2 linked regions of the Lonchura striata genome follow. The protein of the gene in region 2 interacts with the protein of the main gene of each other region in a biochemical or structural test. Links are inferred from orthologs where the notes say so. Each region holds a gene or a part of one and is shown on either strand. Other genes may lie near its edges.

Evidence for each region.
Region 1: the proteins of MAGI3 (region 2) and ADRB2 form a complex in vitro, tested with the Homo sapiens proteins (2 studies listed by IntAct, with this or other methods). The link is inferred for Lonchura striata from reciprocal best matches to the Homo sapiens genes MAGI3 and ADRB2.

What each region holds. Positions count from the first base shown.
Region 1 is NC_134617.1:1,907,577-1,916,791, forward strand, and holds the start of ADRB2 (beta-2 adrenergic receptor), read right to left. Parts: upstream 4,191-9,215; 5' UTR 4,138-4,190; coding exon 2,964-4,137; intron 1-2,963. UniProt on the Homo sapiens protein: Beta-adrenergic receptors mediate the catecholamine-induced activation of adenylate cyclase through the action of G proteins. The beta-2-adrenergic receptor binds epinephrine with an approximately 30-fold greater affinity than it does norepinephrine.
Region 2 is NC_134632.1:5,996,220-6,005,789, forward strand, and holds the start of MAGI3 (membrane-associated guanylate kinase, WW and PDZ domain-containing protein 3), read left to right. Parts: upstream 1-5,977; 5' UTR 5,978-6,056; coding exon 6,057-6,378; intron 6,379-9,570.

The sequences.
Region 1 (9,215 bases), on a different chromosome or scaffold from region 2:
GCACTGAGTGTGCACCTACACCGAGTAGGTGTACCTACACAGAATTTGCACCTGCACTGAGTGTGCACCTGCACTGTGTACCTACACTGAGTGTGTTCCTACATCGAGTGTGCACCTACACTGAGTAGGTGTGCCTGCACCGAGTGTGCACCTGCACCAAGTGTGCACCTGCACTGTGTACCTCAGTGTAGGAACTCGGTGTTCCTACACCAAGTGTGCATCTACACCGAGTAGGTGTACCTGCACTGAGTATGCACCTACATTGTGTTCCTATACTGAATGTGTTCCTACACTGAGTGTGTACCTGCACTGAGTGTGCACCTACAGTGAGTGTGTACCTACACTGAGTATGTTCCTGTACTGCGTTCCTACACCGCATGTGTTCATACACTGTGTTCCTACACTGTGTTCCTACACCAAGTGTGTACGTGCATTGAGTGTGCTCCTACATCGAGTGTGTACCCACACTGAGTAGTGCTACACTGTGTTCCTACACCAAGTGTGTACGTGCATCGAGTGTGCTCCTACATCGAGTGTGTACCCACACTGAGTAGTGCTACACTCTGTTCCTACACCAAGTGTGTACGTGCACTGAGTGTGTTCCTACACCAAGTGTGTTCTTACACTGAATGTGTTCCTACACCGAGTGTGTACCTACACTGAGCAGTACTCCTACACCAAGTTCCTACACCGAGTGTACCTACACCAAGCCCACAGCTCCGCACTCTCAGCGCTGGTGCAGCGCGGAGCGAGCAGCGCCTGCCAGCGCCGCTCCTGCCCTCTTAATGTTTATCCCGGGGGCTGCCCTGCGGCCGCTCACGCCACCGAGTGTCACCGTGCCACCGCACCCTTCCCGTGCCACTCCCCGGGCACCGGGGCACGGCTGGCATCCCTTCACCGTGACACCACACCGGGGCACGGCTGGCATCCCTTCACCGTGACACCGCACCGGGGCACGGCTGGCATCCCTTCACCGTGACACTGCACCGGGGCACGGCTGGCATCCCTTCACCGTGACACCGCATCGGGGCACCGGGGCACGGCTGGCATCCCTTCACCGTGACACCACACCGGGGCACGGCTGGCATCCCTTCACCGTGACACCACACCGGGGCACGGCTGGCATCCTTCCCGAGCCAGCACGGAGGGCACGGAAGCGCTCCCGGCACATTCCTTGGCCCCGCTCGGTGCCGAGGCGACAACAGGAGCCGAGTCAGTCACAGCTTGGGGAGGAGAGGGCTCTTAGCGCTGCTCCTCCTTCCCAGGCAGGATCAGCAGCATTTTGGGAAAAGGAGCAGCAGGAATTCCCGGAGCCCCGCGTTGTACCCGGAGAGCTCCAGCAGTTTGTCCCCAGGCTGACACCCCCCGTGCTCCCTGCCCGTCCGGGGGGATTCCCCTCCAGCCCTGTGGGCACCAGCGCTCGGGGCGAGTCCTCAGAGCAGCCGAGGCCACACGGGCACGGCCGGGGGTGTCGGTAACCAGAAACCCGCTCCGCCCCCGTCCCACCCCGGCTCCTCCGGGACGGGGCACGGCGCTGCCCCAAAGCCGCTCTGCCTCCTGCTGCACCGGGACTCAGCCCCGGGCTGGCCGCTCGCCACCCACCCAGGTCCCCTGGGCACCCAGAGACCCCCACACCCCCAAACTGAGCACGGAGCGAGCCGACAACGCCACCAACACCAGCAGCAACAGCAACAGCAACACCGACACCAACACCGACACCAACACCAATACCAACATCACATCACCGTGGTGCGGGGAGAGCGCGTGGAAATGCGGGGACTCCGCACGCCCGAGCATTCCCCGGGACACCACGGCCCGAGAGGTCCCGGGAGCAGCTTTTCCTGCCCTTTTCCCGAGTATTCCTGAAAGAACCCCGCACTGCACACCCTTCCGGCACCGGGGTGCGCCCCCAGCCCAAATTGCTGCCCCCTCCAGGCAGGGACTCTCCTGTCCTGTCCTGTCCTGTCCTGTCCTGTCCTGTCCTGTCCTGTCCCGGGGACACCTGGCAGAGCCTGGCACACGGGACAAACCCCCTCCACACCCAACCCCAGCGACCTGCAGCCGTGCCGCGGTCGGAGCGGCGCTTCCAGGGTGCCACGGAAAATCCAAACCTCCTCCCGTCCCACCTCCCCGGGCTCGCTGTCATCTGAGCCTCGCAGTTAAACAAACCGGGCGCTTTACGAGCTTTTGGCTGGGCTGTGATTGTAGCCGCGTGTCACCCGACTTCCCAGTGCCACATTCCTGAGTCCCACAGTCACAGGTTCACATTCTAGGCAAACGATTCCGTTTATTTATATTTTTTTTTTCCCCTGCAGAAAGTCCTGTGGCACTCGGCAAAACAAAACCCCGCAGAGCACTCGCAGTTTTTGGGCGGTGATCAAACTGTCCCAGCGCCGGCAGCCCCGAGCCTGCCCCGCTGCCTGCATCCCTTCCCCGCCGGTTTGTCGCAGATCAAATTCAGGGGTTTTGCCATCTCCGCAAAGTGCCCCGGGCTGGACAACCCTGCCACCCCTGCCCCAGGTGCCCTCCTGGCCTGGAGGGCTCCCACAGCCACCAGCGGGGATGTGACAAGGGGACCGGGAGCGGTCCCACCGGGCAGGGGGGTCCAGCCCCGCTCCCAGCTCCCACAAGGTCATGAGGTAGTTCAGTGCCAGGCCAGTTCAGTCCCGGCCACGGCCAGAAATCCCTCCGGGGACGAGCATCCTGCACAGCCTGGCGTCCCCCACCCTGCTAAGGGACCCCCGGGTCGTGCCCCAAACCAGGGGGGGCTGCCAGCAGCCCCTCCGCCCTGCCAGGGGCCAGCTTGCAGAGTTTGAGTTTGGGGTTTCTTGCAGCTGTTAGGTTTTAGGCGCTCTCTAAAAAACAATCACTCTCGTTACGAAAGGAGGTTGATTTTCATTGGAAAGGCTCCTCTGTGCACCCCCCGCCCGAGCCCCCAGCACCCTCCCCGCCGGGCACAGTACCTTTGCCGTGCAAAAAATCCTCGGGGCGAGGGAAGGAGCCCTCCTCGCAGAGCAAGTCGCAGGTTTTATCCGGGGCCAGGGGGTAGCCGTTGTCCTCCTCGTTGTAGTCGCTCCTGCCGTTGCTGTTGGAGTAGCCGTTGGCGTACATCTTGAGGGCGGACCTGCGCAGGCACAGCAGCTCCTGGAAGGCGTACCTGAAGTCGGGGCTCCGGCAGTAGATCAGGGGGTTGAAGGCAGAGTTGACGTAGCCCAGCCAGTTCAAGAGGATGTACAGGTACTTGGGAATGATGTTGTCCTGGATGACGTGCACGATGTTGACGATGAAGAAGGGCAGCCAGCACAGCGTGAAGGTGCCCATGATGATGCCCAGGGTTTTGAGGGCCTTGTGCTCCTTCAAGAAGAACTTGGAGGAGCGGCGGTGCCCGGCTCCCCCTTTCTGCTCCTGCTCCTTGTTCTGGGTGTGAAACCTCCCCTCGCTCCTGTCTATCTTCTGCAGCTGCTTCTTGGCCACCTGGAAGACCCTGGCGTACACGAAGACCATGACGACGAGGGGCAGGTAGAAGGAGATGATGGAGGAGGCGATGGCGTAGGCTTGGTTGGTGAAGAAGTCGCAGCACATCTCGTTCTGGTAGCAGCGGATGGCGTCCTCATGGTCTGCCCGGTACCAGTGCATCTGGATGGGCAGGAAGGAGGTCAGGCCCGACACCACCCACACCACCAGGATGACCACGCGCGCCTTGCCCTTGGTCAGCAGGCTCTGGTACTTGAACGGGGACGTGATGGCGAAGTACCGGTCCACGGCGATGACGCACAGGGTCTCGATGCTGGCCGTGACGCACAGCACGTCCAAAGAGGTCCAGAACTCGCACCAGAAGTTCCCAAACTTCCACATCTCCATGATGATGTGGCAGGCGCCGAAGGGCACCACGGCCAGCCCCATGACCAGGTCGGCGCAGGCCAGCGAGGTGATGAAGTAGTTGGTGACAGTCTGCAGGCGCTGGAAGCGGGCGATGGCCGTGATCACCAGCACGTTGCCGAAGACGATGGCCAGCACGATCACCGACATCAGGATGCCCATGCCCACCATCCACACGTCCCGCGACACCGTGGGGTCGGCGGCGCTCTGGTTGGCGCTGGCGTTGCCGCCGGGCAGCTCCGTCCCCGCCGCGGCCATGGCCCGGCGCAGCCCCGGGGCGGCGGGGAGGGCTCGGCTCCGCTCAGCGCTCCGCAGCCGCGGCGCCGCTCCGGGAGCCGCGCATACGGGACAGGTGCGGGGCAGGCGCGGGGCCGCTGCGCTGGGGCACCGGCGCCGCTCCGCTCCGCTCCCGTCCCGTCCCAGCCCGTGTCCCAGCCCGTGTCCCAGCCCGTTAGGCGCCGCGGAGCTTTTTAAGTGACAGCAGCCCGTGACATCAGCCCGCCGCAGCCAATGGCAGCCGGCACCGCACCCCGGCCCCCCCGCACCCCGCGGCCACCCCCGCCTGCCCCACGCGTGTCCCCGCCCCGCCGGCCGCATCCCCGCGCCCCGCGGGCTCGCCCCGCTCCGTGCGCGCTCCCCTTCCCCGCGGTGCTCTCCCTTCCCCCTGCCCCGAGGTGTGCTTACCGGGGGCTCCCCTTCCCCGTGGGGTTCTCCCTTCCCTGCCCCGGGGTGCGCTCACTGCGGGCTCCCCTTCCCCGCGGGGTTCTCCCGTCCCCGTCCCGGGGTGCGCTGACCGCCCGCTCCCCTTCCCCGCGGTGCTCTCCCTTCCCCCTGCCCCGAGGTACCCTCCCGTCCCCCTGCCCCGGGGTGCACTCGCCGGGGGCTCTCCCAGCTCCGTGCCCGTTCCCCGTCCCCGCGGTGCTCTCCCTTCCCTGCCCCGGGGTGCGCTCACCGGGGGCTCTCCCCACTCCCTGTCCCCGCGGTGCCCTCCCGTCCCCCTTCCCCGTGGGGTTCTCCCTTCCCCCTTCCCCGTGGGGTTCTCCCTTCCCCCGTCCCCGCGGTGCCCTCCCGTCCCCGCCCCGGGATGTGCTCCAGGCACCGCCGTGTCCCTGCGCCTTCTGCCCGCAGTGCTCTCCCCGCGTCACTGATGTCCCCCCACGGTGTCCCCACCCCACCCGTGCCCCCCGTGTGCTCAGCAGGACGCACAGCGCCAGGAACATCCCGAGGACTCGGGGAGCCCCTGGCACCCCACCGGCGTTGGTGGCACCTCGTGGCAGGATGTCACCCGTGTCCCCGTCCCTGCCAGTCGCCAGCTCGGTGCTCTTGCTGCTCCCCAGTTGTGGGGCGCATCCAAGTGAAGCAGCCACAGGAATCCCAGAGCTGCTCAAGGGTAGAGACAGCCCTTAACTGTGCTGGGAGCACTGGCCAGGCAGGGAGTGACCACTGGAAACTGTGGCTGGCCACGCTGCAGCCAGGCACGTGTTCAGAGCCCGACACTATCACAAGCACTCCCCTCCAAAACAAACAAACTGGCTAAATAAGAGCTAAGGAATCCTGAAAACTTCCTTTTAGCCTGTCCGGAGATAAAACGCTGCCTCTGGAGTTTCATTTCTGCCATCCCTCTGAAGCAGCACTGCTTTCCCAGAGACCCATCTCACTCTGCTGGCCCTGGCTGCTTTCAGAGGTTTCAGCTGAAAGCTGTGGTTCTAAAACAGCTCGGTACTACAGAAAGGGAGAAAATAAAGAATTCTTTTCACCCAGATTACCCCAATGCCAGCAGCAGCAGCTGCAGGTCAGTCCCTGGCTGGATGCAGCTCTGTGGCCCTCCCATGGCACAGGAGTGCCAGACTCCTGCCTTTGTCAGCAATTAAACACTTATCAATGGTGAATCTTATGTGAAACTCATCAGCTCTTGGGTTCTGATGCGTTTTCATCATTCTGCCTCATTTTTCCTGCAGTACTGGGGTGCCAGGGCCAGGTTCCCCACTTTTGGCTGTCTTTGCCCCACTGTCCCACACCACAGCCTGCTGGGTGTCCATGCCATGCCCTGGCTGTGCTGGGGATATTTATAGGGGAGGGAGGAAGTTTGGTGGTTTAAACCAGAGGGGCAGATGAGGTACTGGAATCAGGAAACGAGATTAAAGGCAGTTATGAAGTGTCTGTCTTGCCCTGAACCCGCGGCTTCCCTGCTCTCCCCACACTCCACCTCTGCATCCACACGCTTCAGAGGCTTAAAAATGAAGAGACAAGGAACAGGAGATGCAGAAGTCACCCCCCTCCCACTGCAGACATCTGGCAGAGCAGGGACCCTGGGAGGAGCTCACCATCTGAGCTGATTACCTGGAGCTTCCCCTGCCCGTAAGATAAATAAGGCACACGGGGCCATCCCTCCCTACACACACAGCCAGGCAGAGCTGGGACCTGCTGGGTTCACTCTGTGGCCCCGAGGCTTTCACAGACCTCACCCCAGCAGGGCTGTGCCCCACAGGGGCTCGGCGAGCCCAGCTGGGTGCAATGTCCATTCCCACCCTCTGCCCCAGGCCAGCAGCTCCCACCTTGCAGGGAAAACACGGCCAAAAGCTCCTGGGAAAGCAAGGATGTGCAGGAAGTGCAGTAGTGGGAAAGAAAAAAACAGGAGGAAAAGGAGAAATTGTGGGAACTACACCTCATCCTCAGCTCCCTGTTCCCTTTTTTTGGTAAGAGCTGATGTGACAGCTCTAAGAAGCACTCGAGGTGTCAGGTAGTGACCAGGTGAGTTTGCTGGGCTGTTCCTGAGCATTTTGACACCAAATCCAAGCATTCCTAAAGAATTAAGTCCCCTCTCCTGATAAACATAAGGATGTTCATCCTACAGATGTTCAGCACTGGGTCCTGGCAGGAGCAGAAGCAGATTTGGGGATGTGTGGGAAACTGCTGCTCTGAGAGAGGCACAGGCGAGTTCCCTGCTTTGTAACAAGGCTTTTACCCAAGGCAGCCCTGGCTCTGCAATCCCTCTCCAGAGGCAGCTCCAGGACTCTGGAGCTCTGTGCCCAGGCTGCAGGGATCAGCCAGCCCCGTCTCCAGCTCGGTATTTTGTCTTTGTTGTACTCTGTTCAAAGAAATCTCAGCCTGGGCTTTGGACAAGAGGCTGTGCTGGAGGAAGGAGGGCAAAGCTGATTTTTGTTCCTTGATTTGCTCTCCGGCAATCTTTGCTCACCTTTTCGGGTGGGCTTGAGATGATTTTTGTCTTTGACAACACATCTGTGGCCCTCAGTAAGTTGGACAAGTGACCACAGGCTCTAAAAAAGGAAGGAATTTGCCTGACATAAAAATAAATTCCATCACCCCAAGTCTCACTGGCTTGTGAGGTTTGCATGACTTTACCTGTGCTTTTGAGCAATTATTAGATTTCCATCAGGTTCAAGGCTTCATATTGGAACAAAAATAATACCAAACCTCAGAGATGTTATGAACAGTTCAGTTTGAATTTTTTTGGAGGGGAGAGGCCCAAAATGCCTCCTTCTGGGTTCCTTGGACTTGGAGGGTGTCAGAACCAGACAGATCTCATTTGTTTCATGGCCCACTGGCCCTGGTGCTTTGTCATCACGCTGATCTTTTCCCTTTCCATAATTGGATACCTTCTCCCTGCTCGCTGAGTGACATTTGAAGAGCAGCCTGTGGGATCAATGAGAAAGCAGGGCTGGGAGAGAGAAATAATCACTTTTATCAGCCCAACTGACAGAACTGGAATAAACAGCCCGTCTTTTTGGCATGGAAGGCTTTCCTGAGGACTGTGAGGAGCTGGATGCTGTGTGCCTGCCCAGATGTTTATCACAAACTGGAATTAAATACCCTGGCCAGATCAGGCTCTTGGCAAGAGCTTGGAAGTGACAATCCTCAACAAAAGCGGTGTTTGGCAGCAGGGGAATTTGTGAAATTCCTCGCAGGGAAGGGTGTGAGGAGGCTTGGAGCCACCTGGGGTGGTGGAAGGTGTCCCTGCCTGTGGCTGGGGATGGAATTCAGTGATCTTTAAGGTCCCTTCCACCCAAGCCATTCCATGATTCTTTAGGCTCCCTCAAGATTCAGAGCAGGGTCGGGGTGCTCTGTGCAGGTTTTTGGGGGGATCAGAGTGCAGCCTCCTGGCTCCTGATTGATTTTCCTCTCCGTCCCTCCAAGCCATGAGAGGGAGCCACCCCTGACTTGCAGCTCCTGGTTAATCTCTCCCTTCTCCTTGTCGGGAAGACCGGCGCAGTCAGAAGAGGGTTTGAGTGATAAAATTGAGTTTTTGTTTGCTCCCTTCTCTCCGGAGCTCCCTGCACGGCCAGGGGGGAGCTCTGGGCTGTCAGTGAGGAAAGCCCAGGGTCCCCTTTGCACTGCCCTGGGTCAGGAGGGGCAGTGCAGGGGACAGAGACGCTCCAGCCTCGGTCCAAGGGGGTGATGCTGCCACCTCTGCCCCCCGGGACGGTGCCCACCCCGTGCCCTGCAGGGGAAGGGGCAGTGGGGGGGTTCTGCTCTGCTCTGGGGGGTGCAGGGCGGTGTGAAGGGCCTGGGACAGCTCCTGCCTGCCCCTGGAGCTGCCCTAAAGCTCCCACAGGTGCCACCGGCTGCCTGACCCTGGAGCTGCTCCCACAGGTGCCACTGTCCCCACCTGACCCCACCCGAGGGTGCTGTGAGGGTGGGAAAGGGAACAGAACAAAGCAGGACCTGGTTCACTGTGGGAACCCAGAGCTTCCCTCTGGCTGCCCTGGGACCCTGGCAGGGTCAGGAACCCCCTGGACAGAGCCCCCAGAGACACTGCCTGTGATCTCTGGCCATGGAAAAGAGTTTTCAATCTTACAGCATTAATTACTAGCTCTGAGGGTTTGATATAAGTGTTAATTAAGTGTGGCACAAAAGTAAAATTTTAGAATTCTAGATGAGGGGTCCAAAGGGGACAAGATGGAGGAAATTGGGTGTGCCTTGTCCTTTTTCTCCTTCTTCATGCCCTCCATGTGTCACTGTGGTGTTGGCATTTTTCTGTTGGTTCAGGCTGGGGACACACTGTCCAACGTAGGTGACAGATATTGGCACGTTCTTGTAAATGCAGCCCAGGGAGTTTCTGGTATTGAATGTTTGTCACATCCCACTGAGGGCAGAGCCCCACACGCTGCCCTGCAGGACAGAGCTGGGCAGGGCAGCAGAACATGTGAGAGATAAACAGAATAAACAACCTGGAAACCAGCACAGACCAATTCTGGCTTCTGCTTTGGCATGGGGGCTGACAGACAGAGACTCTTTGCAATTTTGGAATCATCAATAGCTCAAATTCCGACATTGCACCAGGGCTGGGGGTGCTCTGGTCCTCCCCGTGCACCTGC
Region 2 (9,570 bases):
AGGTCAAACAAAGGATTTTTGTGGGTGAAGATCAGAAACACACCCAAGTGGAGAAAAATGGCTGAATGCGTGGTAAAAATTGTAAAACATCACCAAACCAACAGCTTCTGCCATTCCTAATAAATGGAGGAAGAGCGTATTTTGCCAGTCAGTCCTACATACAGAGGAGAGCTGGCCTGTGACACCCATTAGCCAGGGTTTTATCCCAGCACAGACCATTCCCAATCATTAAATTTAGAGCTACAAAGTTATCAAGAGACTGGAGCATCTCTCTTATGAGGAAAGGCTGAGAGAGCTGGGCCTGTTCATCCTCAAGAAAGGGCAACAAAAAGGGGAGCTCATCCATGTCTATAAATGTTTAAAGGAGGGCGGCCAAGAAGACGGACCAGGTTCTGCTTGGTGGTGCCCAACAATAGGAAAAGAGGCAATGGGCAGAAACTGATGCACAGGAAGTTCCACCTGAATATGAGGAAGAACTTCTTTATATGTGAGTGACACAACACTGGAACAGATTGTCCAGAGAGGGTGTGGAGTCTCTCTCATTGGAGATGATTAATGATCTGTACACAGTCCAGTGCCATGTGATCTGGTATGACCCTGGAAGCAGAAAGGTAGGACCAGATGACCCACTGTGGTCCCTTTCAACCTAACACATTCTGTGATCTGTGATTCTGTAATTCAGTAGCAGTGGCTCTGCCACTGGTCCACTGGTCCTGTCACACTTGGTCCTCGCTTCCTGAATTACTCAGTCTTGCTTGCCTCTTTCAGCCATGCACTTTACTGCATTCCTCCAGCCTTGTTTATTCTTCAAAGCATTAAGTTCTATATCTAGACTTAAACACTCCATTACTACATTTAGGTTCTAAATCCAATATGTAGACTTCAAACTCTTGCTGTAATTCTGTACAATGTCACTGTGTGACTCTCCCCTCAGTGTTTGACTGGGCCTTTAATCCCCTTTTTGCATTCATTGGCATTGGCGGTGTTTGATCACATCATCTGTGTCCCAGACCAAGTAGTGGAGGGGTATTTGTGTAGGTTGCTTCTTTATTCAAAATGACAAGTCCTCTTAGTTCATCTCGTTAATTTTACCGTGGCATCCAACTGTACTTGGAACAGGCACGTGACAATCTCTGTAGTTAATTTTTAAATTTACTCTGGAATTTTTGACTCCTGTTGGTGAGGCACAGAGGAAACAGCAAAGAAGATGAAAAGTGCTTGAGAGTATATGACTGTATGTCCCGTAGATCCCTGCATGACACCTGCTCTCAGAAATTATTCCCCTTGTTTCAGAAGTGCCTTTATTTGTTGTTCTCCTCCCCCTCCTTTTATTTTTTTTTTTTTTTTGGCCAGCTTGAGGATAAGTGAACACTGCTGTCATTGTACAAAGCAGTACAACTCAGGTCAGAGGCAGACTCATCCCTTGACCAAGCTTTTAACCTGTTGGCAGTTGTTTGTGTTAAGCAAACAAACAATTTTCTGTCAGTTTTCCCCCATATTCTCCATCGCAGGGTTACAGAGCTTCCTTCAACTGAGTTGTCTTTCATTTAATGAGTGTTAGTTTAAAAGGATTTGTGATGTTTCAGTTGCAAAATGATGTTGAATATGCAGCTGGAAAATTGAGGCATACAGAGGATCTGTATTCACTGCTGATTTACTGTAAAATCTTGGTTGAAACATCTAAAATTCCCAGTCCAGAACTCTTGCTGTTTACAGGATTCCTGAGGAAACATTCAACACTGTTCTCTGCTCTCTGATGATCAGTGATAGTAGTACTGAAGGCACAACATGGAACTGTGTCAGAGGAAGTTTAAGCTGGATATTGGGAAACAGTTCTTCTCCCCATAGGGTGGTTGGGCACTGAAATGGCTCCTCAGGGCAGAGCAGTTGTCATGCCCCAAGGCTGCCAGAGCTCAAGGAGTGTTTGGACAACACTCTCAAGCACATGGTAGGATTTTGGGGTTGTCCTGTGCAGGGTCAGGAATTGGACTTGATGATCATATTCTATGATTCTCTGATTCTATTGTATGCAATGATCAGTAGTTCTGCATTGCTCGAGAATGGTTATTTATATGTGAAAGAGGAGCAAAGAAGGATATACGACTGTGTGGATGCTATTCCTGCTGGTACAGCCTCTCATTTGCCTGCTGTGCTGATGTGTTTATGAAATACAGGCAGGTTTATGATGCAGCTTTGCATCAGCGAAGAATGCATTGATCCCCATCTACAGCCTGCTGGGTTGATACATTCTCCTTTCCCAGGTGAGGAGCACAGACACCAGGGATTGGTGTCTGCCCAGGGTGACAAAGACTTCTCTTGAGGCTTGAGTTTATTCTCTAAGCTTTACAAAATTCCCTGGTAAGGTCTGGTTCCACGGCAGCTTCTGCTCCTGTACAAGTTAATTTATGACATGTTTTAAAGTTTGCCTTCAGATAAATGTCTCTTAGAGTCACACAGTTTTCAAATAGACAGTCCTGGATATGTCTGTCAACAGAACAGCAAGTGCCTGGCTTTGAACCACTCTTATTCAACTGTGATTTGTTTGTGCTTCCTCAGAGGCATGGAGCTTCCTGAATAATTTCTGACCCTGTGTTTGAGATGAGGGCTCTGTTAGGGAATAACACTGTGCCCACTGCTGCTTCCTGGCAACTGATTTTGTTTTCAGTTAATGCAGTGGAGTTAACCATCACTTGTTGGTTCTCCCAAAAGCTGTAAAACATTGTGGTCAGGTAGTGGTGTTGTGAGAGAGACAGAGCTCCTGTGTGCCCAGTCACCAGGAAAATAGGAAATAACATCCTTCTGCATGAACAAATGCCATCTCTGTATCAGTGCAACTGGCTTTCATGTCATCCTTGCTGAGGAAGAAGGTGTTCTTATTTTGTGTTTGTGCATGTTGTGTGAGTATTTTGCCTCTGTGGCACAGGATTGCTGACCTATACGTCACACCAAGATTTGCATGGCAAGCACTGGGCATGAGGAAAAGGGCTTCAGAGGAATCTAAACACAATACCACAATTCCTTTCCTAACCACTCTGAGACAATATGTCTTCATGCTCTAATTAAACAGCGGTTTGACATGTTTTTGCTGTTTTGATTGCCTTTGAACTTTGGCAGTGTGATAAACAAACTTTACTTCCTTTCCTACCAAAAACTGTGCTGCCTTAAAAGAGTTTATGTCCTTCATTCTGGTGTGACAGATCTTAGCATCCTCTTCTTGTGGCATTCTGTATGTGCTGATGCCAACAGCAGAGTGGACTGGCAGCTGTCACAGTGTGATGGGTGATGAACCAGGGATGCTGGAGCTCTGATGTTTCTTTGATAGCCCCTTTTAACTCACTGAGAGCTCCAAACATTAATGATTTCTCAGCCCTCAGCAGGTCACCACTGGTGGGGGTGCAAGGGCACATTCCTTTCTGATCGTGTCCAAGGCTGTGCAGACACTTCATGTGTCTGGGATACGTGATGAGTAATATGGAACAAGAAATGAAAGCAAGACAAATGGACTAAAGCTGTCAGCCAGTTCCCAGGCAGCCCGTACATGTTTCGAAGTTTGTTCATGGAGAGCAGGAGGAATATCCTTCATGTAATGTACAATGAACTTGCCCAACTTGCTAGCATAATAAAATTTGCAACAATTAGGCAGCTTGTTTTGGCTTTTAAGTTTATATGGAAGCATACTCTTAAAGACAACAGTACTTTCATTGCAGAACAGCAGTTTCATTGGTTTTTTTACCAGTGTTATTAATTGGCATATGTCAGTATTTTGGAGCTGCCCTCCATTTCAGGTGTGTAAATGCAGTGCACATTTCAACCCAAGGTTTGAAGTCTTGGCCAGTGAAAAGACTGAGCTGTAATTTCCTAAGGTGAGGGCTGGACAAACCTTCTGCTTAGGGGGAGGGACAAACTTCCAACCCTTGAGCCAGTCAGACACTCATCTCTTCCTTGAGATATCCACACTGTCTGCACAGGACTCTGTGTATTCTCTGGAACATCTGGCAAAAGCTACCATCAGCAGCTCATAAATTACAGCTCATGCCTGATGTCACAATTCCCATGTGAAAAACTGAAGACCTGTTTTAAACAATGTGACAGTGTCTCTTTTAATGTCCAGTTCACAAGCTTTCAGCCTTTTTGCTTCTATTCTGCAAGCGTGAAATAAAATTTATCTCTGGTGGCTTTTTCCATGCCTGTTGGCAGGCAGCCCAGTGCGCCTCAAATAGCAGCGAACACGATGAGCTGAACCTGTGCTTGTAGCATTTGGTTAATGTCCCCAAAAAAAGTATGGATTACATTGTTTTACCCCAGCAAGTAAGATTGGTGTTCTTCTGACTTCTTTGGAAACATTCTTGCTTTTTTTTTTGTAAAAGCCATAGACTACTAGGCCTTAATGGTAGACAAATCTCTAAGAACTGGAAAAGGGAAAATTTCTGGTTGCAGAAGTTACTGTTTTTTGTTACGAGCAGGTTTCTTAGTGGTTTCACTTACTATTTATCGCTGCAAAATTCAGTGTTGAAATCTGATACTTCTAACACACTGTGTTGTCCAGACTGAGGTGAACACAGGGACACAGCAATGGGAACAAAAATCCATTGTTTTACAACTCAGCAATTATTCTTTAGGCTCTGCAGGCACCAGCTTCTTCACTTCCTCCTACAGAAAAGAAAGCAGTACTTCAGTCATAGCTCTTTATTTGCAAACAGTGGCAAGGTTATACTTTCTCAGGACTCAGATTTTTTTCCAGCCCTGCTGCTCCTTACAGACTTCAGCCCACTGGGCACAGCTGGAGCCTTCAAGATGCTCCTAAAACATTGTAGACATCACAAGAGATTTGCAGTGAAAATTCAGCCTCTGATTAAGAGAAAAAAATTTGAGGACTGGGCAGTGAATTTTGCAATTTGAACCAGAAAGCTTTCAAATAATTATTTTCCAGCTTTTATAGCAGTGACACTGATTTTGAATGAACTTTCCTCTGCTTCATACTTTTTAGTGTTTCCTTTCTTCGGCAGCTGCACTGTGCTCCCAAATGCTGGAATGTACATGTCGCATACCTGGCGTGTAATCTGCACCTGGCATGAGTTAATTGCTATGCTGAGTTCTGTGAATCACAGCTAAATAAACAGGCTCATGTGAAGAGAAAACCCACTGGATTTGTGTTTCCAGTTGAAAAAGTATCTGCATGTTTATATTTAAATTGTTCCGAGCTCTGTTTTGGCCTGAGGTCATCAAACTACTTTGAACCAACTGGTTCCAGTGGCAGTAGCCATAGGAATGCTGGGAATACACAGGAGTGGTCTCCGCCTGTCTGATTGTGCAGGCACTAAGTGCAAACATGAGAGCAGATTATGGACACCCCACCTCAGCTCTCACACCTATCTCAAACCCAGCTGCCAAGGGGGTCTCCTGGCTAAGGGGTGACCCTGGCTGAAGGTAAACTCTTCCTTAGGTGGGAGCTGACTGGGAGCTCTTAGCTGATAAGGCCCTGGCTGAGGGGAGCTCCTGTCTGAGGAGAGATCCCGACAGAGATGCTGGGTGACAGGAGACCCTGCCTGGGATGGGCACTGACTGAGGAACTCCTGGCTGAGGAGAGATCCTGCACGACGCAAGCCCTCGCTGAGAGCGACCCTGCTGCAACGGGCGCTGGCGGGGGAACTGCCGGATGAGGGGGTATCTCGGCCTAGGCGGGCATTGCCCGAGGGGCTCTTTCCGGGCGAGGAGGACACACCCGGAACGTGCCGCAGCTCCTGGGGGTCCCGGCGGGCCAGGTCTAAGCCCCCTACGTGCCCCGGCTCGGCCTGGCCCGGCACCCGCGCAGCCTCGGACCGGCAGCCCCGCGCCAGGGCCGCGGCCAAGGGGCGGCAGGGCGCGGCGGGCCGGGAGGGGCGCGGCCAGCGAGGCAGGCAGGGCGCGGCGGAGACGGGAAGAGCGGAGCCTGGCGGGGAGGGGCGGCGGGGCGGCGCGGGGCGGGGCGGCGCGCTGGGGCGGCAGTCGGGCGGCAGCCGCGGCCGGGGCGGGAGCGGCGGCAGCGCGGGGTGGGTAGGGTCGCCCCGTGTTGCGGCATGTCCAAGACGCTGCGGAAGAAGCGGCACTGGCTGAGCAAGGTGCAGGAGTGCGTGGTGTCCTGGGGCGGCCCAGCGGGCCCCGACCCCGATCTGCTGCGCGGCGGCGCCGAGCGCGGCGAGTTCCCGTACCTGGCGGGCCGGCTGCCCGCGGGCGGCGAGGACTCGCCGGGCCCCGCGCTGCTCTCGGGCAAGGCGCCGGCGCCGGGGGACGTGCTGCTGGAGGTGAACGGTACCCCGGTGAGCGGCCTCACGCACCGCGACACGCTAGCCGTGGTGCGGCACTTCAGGGAGCCCGTACGCCTCAAGACCGTGCGCCCAGGTGAGCGCCCTCCACCGCCGAGCTGGACCGAGGCCCTCCCGCCGCCGCCCAGCCGGCCGCGCGTAGGCCCGGCCGCGCCGGCGCCCTGGGGCGGCGGGAGGGCCGCGGCGGGGAGCGGCGCCCGGAGGCAACCGGGCGGAATCCGGGGCGCGGGTGCCCCGCTGGGAAAGTTTCCGCGGGTTCGGGAAGGCGCCGCTGCCGAGAGGGGTGATGCAAGGCAGGAGGCGGTCCCGCAGTCTCGGGGCGGCCTCAGGACGGTGCTCTCTCCCCAGTCCCGTCCCGGTAGCCTCTCCCGAGGGTCCTCTCCCCGTCCGGAATGCCCGGCTTCGCGATGCAGCGTTTGTGCGGGTGTGACCCTCGCGGGGCTCTGGGTGACTCAATGGCCCCTGGAGGGTCTGGTGCCTGCGTCCTCCTCTCGGAGGTGCAGGAGGTGCTTTCCGTGGTGTTTATATAATCCGCTGCTTGCAGAGGTCGAGGGTGGGTGGGGAATGGCCGGGATGGAGCACCGGAGTGCCATCGCTTCATCCTCTTAGTTTCCCACTTGGCAGAGATAAAAGCCCTGAGAACAAACTCCGGCTGTTATTTTTTCCACAGATTTGTATTATTTTTGAGTACACTTCAATTAGCTAGTGCTTGTGGTAACATCATATTTATCAACGTGCCTGTTAAATGTCAGAGTAATGCTGAATAGTGGCGCTTGCAGCTGCATGAGTTAATTCATGAGCTCCAGAGGTACCTTCTGCTTTCTTGGTCAGGCAAACCAGATGTGAGCCTGCTGCCTTATAAGAAGGTGTCTTGGGAAAAAGTATTTTTCTCTGAATCTCAATGGATATCAGTATCTCTATTATTAGGGTCTATAATATTTCTCCTAGTGCTTCTTTGCTGAGCACTTGTCTTGTTCTTCTTTGGTAACTGCTGGGTGCTCTCTGACTTCATGTAATATGTATTTTAAGTCGGGTTTTCCCTGTTTGACCACTAATGGAAAGTCATGTTCCATATAGAGATTGTGCTGTTGGTCCTGATTCATATAACTTGCTAAATTAAAGCAACAATCAAAAAAAAATCCCATGAAACAGACACACATCTTAGAAGCCTGGTAGGTTTTGAAAAAGGTCTTTATTTACAAAATTGGAAGTCCCTTCTGAAGGGAGAAAATGTAAAAGAAAAAACAGCTGCAAGTTAGATGTGAACTAAGAGGATTTTAAAAAGAGAGACAAATTGTTTAAGATAAAAAATAATCTCTTTTTAAAAGAGAAAGCTTGTGAAAGATGAAATTATAGTTCATAGGGATTTCTTGTATTTCCTATGGAGGGAGTATTCTTGTGCTGGTAATTTCTTAACAGCAATGTCAAACTGGCAAAAAATATTTAGAAGAAATAGCTGCAATTAGCAGTAGAAAATGGCAAGAGCTAGATGATGTTCATGAGGGCTTCCAGGTATTAACAGTAGTGCATTGCCTGTTCCTTAAATTCTGGGTGGTGTGAAAGGGAGAGGAGTGGGGAGTATAGAGTACTGATAAGAAAAGAGTCCAGAAGGTCAACAGAGGCTGGTTGGTGATTCCAGCAAGTTGATTAAAATTTGAGTTTTAGAAGAGAAATAGAACATTGGGCATGTGAACCAATACCACTTAATGAGCAGAGTGGGCTGCTTTCACTGGCTGGTTTAATCAAATCCGAGTATTTTGGTGAGGTGGATTTTCAAATAGGCTTTCAGTAAGGTATCACTGACTTGGATGAGTCTCTTGCTGAGTGAGCATGGTGTGGCAGTGTAGCTGCCAAAATAGAAGAGCAGAATTCTCCTGTGGCTTAGTAACTAGTTAAAACAGAGGAATGGTTTCTTCAACAGAAGAAAACTGCTGCTGGAGTCTTGTAAGGACCTGTGCTGTTTAGCATAGTCATCCAGAGCTTGTAAACCTGATGCTGGTGAGTTGTACAAAGAGAAATAGCATTTTTGTGCTGATTTTATGTAACTTTTGGAACAGATCAAACAAAATCTTCAGAACCAGCAATTTTTCCCATACTGGAGCATATGTACCGCATCAGATGATTTTTGTAGTCATTTTCTCAGTTAGATTTAGTGTCCTTGAATACAGTATTTTAAAATATACTGGGTTTTGGTTGTTTTTTGCAAGGCTGCCACAGCTGCACAATGGCAATTTTCCAGTCAGGGTATATGTAATTAGGGAAGTTGTTGACAAGGCATTCTCTGTGAAGACCTGTGACTTTGAATTTGGCTTCCCTTTTGATCCAGAGCTATCCAAACCCGCCAAGTTTTGGAAGGCGTCTGGGAAGGTGCATGTGACCATGCAGGTGGTTGAGATGAAGGGAGTGAGGGCCAGGAGCTGGTGGTCCCTGGTAGGCACATAATACGTCTGAATTCTCAAAGACATGTAATTGTGTTACTGCATTTCAGGGTCCTGTGTTTCATGATTTTCCTCAGTCAAAACTGAAACCATCATTTGAAAGGCATGGAGTGCTCTGCCAGCAGACCTTTGTGTGCCCCATGGCTCTTCAGGCTTGGGTGCTATTGGGATAGAAGTCCGAGGGAATCTAGTGTCAGGGACTGACAGTGAGGGATTTGTCTCCTTGAATCTGAAGTGTAGGGTGTTTCTAAGGTCTCGATGCCCACAATCTGCCTGTGCATTTTAAAGGGTGAGTTTGGTGCTCCATCTTCCAGGTGAAGTCTGTGCAGGTGACCTGGTGGCTTTGAACAGCAGGATCTGAACTGCTTTAGTTCAAGTCATAATATAGTCACTCCTTCATTAAAAGGCAGTAACAGCTTTAGTTGACAGTAGTAAAATCTGTGATACTTCTTGCAAGCTCATAGAAAATTTAAAATGGAAATTTCAAAATGCTGTTTAGGCTTGTTTAATAAGACATTTGAAGGATATGAATGTTAATTGGAATGCCATCTGTTAATTGCACATCACAAACAACGGACCATTTTGTTGATTGAGGAATTTGTCCTTCCCATTCTTGTCCTATCTTTATTACAGAATTACAAAATCAGCCAGGTTGGAAAAGACCTTTGAGATCATCAAGTCCAACCTATGACCTAACAGCGTCTTGTCAACCAATGCCATGGCACTAAGTGCTATTTCCAGTTTTTGCTTATGCACCTTCAGGGACAGTGACTCCACCACTCCTTGGGCAGTCCATTCCAATGCCCAATCACCCGTTCTGTGAAGATGTT